Linked DNA regions of Oryzias latipes. The protein of the gene in region 2 binds, or shares a complex with, the protein of the main gene of each other region. Links are inferred from orthologs where the notes say so. Each region holds a gene or a part of one and is shown on either strand. Other genes may lie near its edges.

Region 1 (3,308 bases), on a different chromosome or scaffold from region 2:
TTTAGAACCCAAACATCCATTAGCACACAGAGTGTTATCAACATTGCAATAAAGTTTCTGTTTGGTGGAGTCTGAACATTCTTCTACACACTTGAAAGTCATGAAAGTCTGCTCAGACTCACACAAACCTTTTAGACACTGGATTTCATGTTTTTTCTGTGCCTGTTTCATCAACTCCATGACTTTTTAAAACACGCAACTTCTGACATGAGCAAGGACCTTTGGCCTTACATTCCAACTCTACTTAGCGAGCGATGGTGCTGCCATTCTCCCATCTTATGCCTCAAAGCAAACATGCAATGAGGACCCAGCTGTGACTTGCATTGTTTTCAGAAATCTTACAATTTTACAATTACACTCAAACAAGTCAAACTAGAATGTTAATAAGACATGACAATTTTTTTCATAACTATTGTGGGGGAAAAAAAGTCTTGCAGTTAAGACACCAAACGGTAGCACAAGTACAACTTTTTTGTGAGACTGGCATAAAAGTTTGCATCATTGTCCTCTGATACTTATTTCATCTTGCTGCAGGTTTTTTTCTATTTATAAGTCTCTAGTTTTTTATTAAATGTTGCAAAAAAATTGAATTTCTTTAAAGGAAATAAAAAACATACAGCAAAGTCCTAACATCTGGGTTTCCTAAGCTTTTAGGAGATCGCATTTAAAACATTTTTTTTTTTATTACAGCAAAAAAGAACTTCTGATGTAATCAACTCAGCTGCTCCCAACTCATCAAATAAAGACAAGTAGGTATGACATGAAAAGTTTATTGAGAATGAACGTCTTTCACTTCAGCATTGACATCAGCAGACGTATATACAGAGATCCTTTCCAATAAGCTATTAAAAAAGGGACATTCCTGCTCTTCTCCAAATTATTAGTGCGCTCATGGGGAAGTGGAGCACAGGTAACTAAAATGTGCACCATACACACATTTGAATGTGGGCAGTTTTATCCAAATCAAAGTTCTACATCCTGAAATCCTGAGGTTCACTATCACATTACTTAGACAAGCGGTATGGAAAAGAACAACACCGACGACTTCCCACTCAACCAGCTTTCAGTTTACTGGTAATAAGGTCGATAGCGGCCCTGATCTGGGTGATGGGGGCCTGGCATCTGTCCCTGGGGAGGTGGACCCTGCATTCGAGGAGGTGGGGGCCCCCTGGGAGCAGGCCACATCCCAGGACTGAGTCCTCCTGGCTGGTTAAACGGAGGGCTGAGGGTGCCCTGGTCTTCAGGGAACGGCTGCATGGAGTTGGGGTTGTAGTGGTGAGGTGGGGGGGCATTCACAGGAGGTCCGGTGTGCTGTGGGGGAGGTCCTGGAGGTGGGTGATTTATATAGGGGGGCATGATGTGCCCTGGTGGGGGAGGCGGGGCTGTAGACATGGGGGGAGGAGCCTGGTTGTAGACCATGTGTGGTGTCCCAGAGCCCTGGGGGGGGTGCTGCATTGGGTGACTAATAGGAGGAGGTGGACCAAAGTGCTGTTGAGGTGGCGCCATCATGTGGTGAGAGTGTGACACCACAGGCGGCTGCCCAGGATAGTCTCCAGGGTGGTGATGCGGGGGCTGGCTGGGGCATGGCCCACCAGGATGGGAATCCCGTGATGAAGACGAGTCATCTTGAATGGGCACTGTGATGAGATTGCTGTGTTTACGAGTTGTTACAGTGGCAATGCGAAACGTCTCTGGTCCCAGAGATGGAGTTGGGGGAGGCCCGTCATGGGGGGTCGGTGGAGGCGGCTGACTGTAGGGATCGTGACTGCTGTGCATTTGGTTTGGGAGGTGGACATGGTTCTTAGGGATGTGAGGAGGAGGCACACGGAAGCGATCAGAAATTTCAGGTGCTTGTGGCAGATGCACAGGATCCTGGCGGCCCGAGGAGGACTTGGTGGCTCTCATGTGACGGTGGTTCACGTGGGCTTGGAGGTCCCGCTGGGACAAGTAGGTGCGCTTGCATCCTGGTACAATGCTGCACATGTAGAGGGACCCTCGCTGGCACTGCTCGATGCGCTGAACTGGATCCGTGCAGTTATACAGACTGAGACTGAACACACATACAACAGTTGAGTCTCTTCAAACAGAAACCATAAAACTACAGGTTACGAGCAGCTTTTGCATCACACGTGTGTAAACCCTATCAAAATTCTCGAAATGTCAAAACAAATTTTTTTTCAATGACACTGTTTCCTTTAGATCCTAATTATGTGAATAAATACGAACCTACTCACGCGATAAATCATTAAAAAATATGGCGAGAGATGTGAACAATACTTTGACAACAGATCCAAATTTCTGCCATAGCACCAACGCTCATCATCATTTATCAGAGGAGCTGTGGACCCAACAATTCCACATGACACGCTCAACTTTTGATGAGCTGTGTGACGCTTTGGGACCTCTGGTGGCGCCCGCTGTGCATTCCCCAAGACAGCCAGTTCCTACCAAAAGACGCCTCGCCATCCGGTTGTTGGTCATGGGGCTCATTTAGTTTGAAAAAAGTGTTTCCATTGCAGTTTTGTGAAATATGTCAATTTGGATATGCCTCAAAAACAACCACCTCCAAGCACAAAAACTTTTTCTTTTTGATAAATACTAGCTTAATGTCGTGTTTCAATCAGGTAAATTTATTATCCTAAATCTAATTTGCGCTATTTCATATTCAACGAAATAGACTCGTGTGAGGGAAAAAAGTTACCCGTAACCAAGAAAGTGTTTTTTTTAAGGCTGCATTAAATCATAGCTTCAATGCTTAATAAATTGTTTCAAAACATTTTTCACTTAAAAGTGCTTTATGTTTCTAATTTTGCAACCACAAATGAAATTCCTCCAAATGTAAATTTACAGAGCAAAAATTATTATACTGCCATATATATATATATATATATATTTTTTTATTATTTTACTAATATTTTCCAATCTTTTGTCAATTTGTTAGTAACTTTTCTATTACGTTTTGTCATTAAGCAGCCACATAAAAAAACTGTTTCCAATTGTTCAATTAACAGAGAATTAAACAGAACTACACATTGAAGATGGAAACATGTCTCACCCTGGACACATCTTCTCGCCTTTCTTCTCATGAAGCAAAGCGCAGTCATAGCAGAAAACATGCTTGCAGGGAATCTGAAAGATGCAAGGTCAAGAGTTAAGCAAGAAAATGTTGACTGAAAATGACAGAAATTGAAATTCTGCACATACCATCCGTCCATAAAGTTGAATGGGGAGACCACATTTATCACAGAAGTGAATCGGAACTTCATCTCTTTCACCGATCAGATTTAGCTGTTGGAAAAGTCACTTAA
Region 2 (3,829 bases):
TGCTTCATAGCATTATTGCTCACTAAGTCATTATTCTGATTTTTTTTTTAACTTCATATAATTTTCCTGATTGGAAAAGCTTCACAGACCTTATGATTTATTTGATGTAGACATTTACGTCTTACTTCTCAGGGAGACTTCGCCTCATGCTTTCCAGTTGGAACTGTTCTTTAATAATGTTGCCAAACCCAACGGCCCTACCTTCCACAGACTGGGCAGGTCAGTGTTTCTCTTGTTTGTTTTTTTTTTGTTTTTTAACTGTCTTAGCCTGTCAAAGTCATTCACTTCATTTCCTTGTGAGGTTTACAAAGATCCCAGGACACAGAAGTCTGTTTCACTGGTGGAACCGGTTAGAGCAGCATTTGAGTCCTTTTCTCTTCTAGCTCGTTTTGAAATCGACCCTCCTGGTTTCTTTGTTATTTGTGCTCATCTAGCTGGTCTTTCCAGAATTTCTGCTGCACCTTCACTGTAGCTAAAATTGACAAAGATAAAGAGGTCTCACTGAAGGACAAGATTAATGTTCTAGTCAAAACACTTTTATTCTAACCTCAATAACTGGGATGTTCACAGTAGCACCAAAGAGTTAAACTTGGGTTTAGGATTATAAAAATATGTGAATGTGACACACCCAAGGTATTTTTCTGTGTGAGTAAAGTCAGAATTAAATGCTCCAAAATTTGCACCATTGTATCTCAATTATTTTCTTTCTTTTTGAAGTAATGTTATCATGTTTTTAGTAAAAAATCATTTAGTTTGGTCAGATGATGTAGTTAATGAAAGGAAATCTCCTACTAAAACATTTTGACTTTTAACTTTTCCAAAACAATATGCTATAAGTGCTAAAGCTTGAATATTGGGTTTAAAAATGCTAATAATCAGAATCATAACCCAAAATTTAGTTTAGGATTTCTAATTTTACAGATTAATTAAGATTTCTTAAATTGCTTTGAATTAGAGATTTATTAGATCATTTCAGTGTTTTGGCAGTGATACCCAGCCATGGCACAAATGTTTTTTTATTTTTTTTATTAACAGTAGGTAAATCAGTTTTATTTATAAAAATCTGATTTTTATTCAAATTTTGTAATGTTCTGCCATTATTATTATTGTTTAACTTGTCATGTTTTGCTTTGTGTCCTTAGTTTGGAATATGATGAGAACAAGTCAATTGTGTTCAGGCCCAGTGGAAAGGTAAAGCGTTTTTTAATTTTTTATTATAAAAGAAATCTTGACTTTTGTTTTCTGTTGATCTGGGGATAACTGACTGGGCATTTATGGACAGGTGAACACAAACGGCCTTGTTCTGCGTGGATGGTACACTAGTCTGACTCTGGCGGTATATGGGACTGCAGAGCGCTCTCATGGCCATGATCAAGGCTCGCCTCCTCCACCACCTCCACCTCCTCAACAACCAGCTGGACCCAAGAGGATCATTAAACAAGGTTGACTCATATTACTCCTTTCTGTTGTTTTCCTTTAAGCAATATGTTTTTGAGTTACAAATGATTATTTAGTTAGTCATTTGGGTCAATAAATAAAGAATTGTACTAGCCACTGGTAAAGTTTTCAGCTGAGCCCAAAACAGTAAAAATTACAAGAATTAATTTGTTTGATTCAAACCCAAGACCCCAACTTTCAGTCCAAAGAATTTGGATTGTTCTTTTTGGGTTAAATTAGCACATGAAGTGAAAGAGTTTTAACATCCTGTACTGTTTTTCTCAACAGAAGTACAAAAACAGAGTTGTGCTAATATGCAAAGCTGTCGTTTTACTGGTCTGTCAACATTACAGTGCTCACCTATAGTCCCAGGGTCTGAATAATGACCAAGAGAGTGAAATCATAAGCACAGGCTGCCAAGAAGAGCATTGTCATGTCGTAACATCTTTTTACCCTTGGGGGAAGTGTCAGTTATAGTCTTTAGGAGAATTTACTGCTTTTCTGCCTTAAAATCACTGTTAAAATGGTTTGGGCTCTTAGTAAAAATGCTTTCACACACCTTTTGAAAATGGCACTTCTGACATGTCCCACCAATAACACCCCCCACACGAGCTCAAGGACCAGCTGGAAATATGTTTTTGTCGTCCTGGCACTATTATCTAAGAGCTAGCAAAAATAAAGGGGGAGAAGAAGACCATTACAATCTCTGTTCAGACTGGACCTGGTCCTAAAGGGATTGTTTTTTAATAGAACCAATGCCCTTGTTAGATTTTTACCAAATCACCACTTTGAAAGCACTTTCACCCCTCTTAACCAACTTACACCAACAAGAATTGTTATTTTCGACACATATCCTCAAATCAAATCATATCACACTATCTGTCACACCTAGGTGTGTGAAATTTGTTCTTTGCATTTGACCCATCCTCTGGGGGAGCGGTGAGCTGCAGACACAACTGTGCTCAGGAACCATTTGGTGGATTTAACCTCCTAATCCAGCCCCTTAATGCTGAGTGTCAAGCAGGGAGGCATTGGGTCCAATTTTTAAAGTCTGGGATTGAACACACGACCTTCCAGTCTCAGGGCAGTCTCACTCTAACCACAAGGCCACTGAGCTGGTACAATCCTAATAATCCTAGTAATATCCTGACATTCCATGTCTTTCAGAATGGGAAAAAGAGGACCAGTACAATGGCAGCCCTCCTAGACCAGCACCTAGAGGACCTCGGACTCCACCTGGACCTCCACCTCCCGATGATGATGAGGAGGAGCAAGTCCCAGCGGCAGGTAAATCTCAAACACACTTACATAATGTATATATTTGTAATCCATCCTTTTTTAGAACTAGAGTTGCTTTTTTTAAACATAATTTTCACCCAAAAATTTGCAAACGTAATTTAAAGGTTTAATTTCAGTAACGTCACATTTATCTTTTGCACTCCCTTCCTATTGAATCTACAGTTGAATTTATTGCAGTTTTTTCAAGTCTGTTTTTCTTTCTTATATCTTATCTCATGTAGATTAATTTGAAACTGTTTGCGCTGATTATGAGTAAACATTTTTTATTTCCTTTTAGGCCTACAGCCCGCATTCATTAAAATAGGTGGTCATACAGTCTTAAAGGCAGAGCAGACATTAATTCTTAAAGGTTGCAGCAAAATCAAAACAGTGATTCAAAAACCTAAGCAGGTGAAAAGTCTGAATCTACGATGGATGCATTGATGCATTGAATTCAGAGAATGTTTTAGATTCTTTTCTAGTACATGCCAATATAGATATGATATATATGTAGGAATTGTAATCTGCGTGACTTGATTGACTGCCTCCTTTTTTGGCAAAAATTAAGTTTCACTTTAGAGACTTGAGACAATTTTAATTCAGTTCAGACACTTTGCAGCCATGTTTGAAGACGGTACAACACAATTTACAACAGCTCATCTCTGAAAAAAACGTCTGCTTCATACACATTTTTGATAAGTCAGCAGCAGTTAAATAAACCGCATAAAGCAGGCGTGTGTGTGTCAAAGCATGTCAGAATGACATTAGGGGTCTGTAAATGTTGCTGCAACCTTTTTAAGAGAGTATACTTATTTCTATGTCATTCTATCATTTTCTCCCTCTCTGTTTTCCATGACAGGAGAAGGAGTATTAAAAATGAAACATCATTAAAAAAAAAAAAACGCAATTTGAGTTATAGGAAAGAGTAATTCTTTGTGTATCCTGCTGTAGTTTCATCATGACTCAACGTTTGTTAGCAAAACTTGTTTGCTAACTAGACCAACGGTAAAACCCGAAACACTGGTATGGTCTAAAAACAGTTAGACAAACAATTCGAAAAACCTTTCACTAAGCTGTGCAGCCGCCTGCAGTATCTAAAGAATCAACACAGCAA

The links.
Region 1: virma (region 2) and cbll1 share a complex: the UniProt entries of both Homo sapiens proteins name them as parts of the WMM complex. The link is inferred for Oryzias latipes from reciprocal best matches to the Homo sapiens genes VIRMA and CBLL1.

Annotation. Positions count from the first base shown.
Region 1 is NC_019881.2:9,402,536-9,405,843, reverse strand, and holds the end of cbll1 (E3 ubiquitin-protein ligase Hakai), read right to left. Parts: intron 3,289-3,308; coding exon 3,205-3,288; intron 3,130-3,204; coding exon 3,056-3,129; intron 2,051-3,055; coding exon 1,069-2,050; 3' UTR 755-1,068; downstream 1-754. UniProt on the Homo sapiens protein: E3 ubiquitin-protein ligase that mediates ubiquitination of several tyrosine-phosphorylated Src substrates, including CDH1, CTTN and DOK1. Targets CDH1 for endocytosis and degradation.
Region 2 is NC_019874.2:17,770,253-17,774,081, reverse strand, and holds part of virma (protein virilizer homolog), read left to right. Parts: intron 1-132; coding exon 133-219; intron 220-1,142; coding exon 1,143-1,191; intron 1,192-1,282; coding exon 1,283-1,442; intron 1,443-2,604; coding exon 2,605-2,724; intron 2,725-3,829. UniProt on the Homo sapiens protein: Associated component of the WMM complex, a complex that mediates N6-methyladenosine (m6A) methylation of RNAs, a modification that plays a role in the efficiency of mRNA splicing and RNA processing.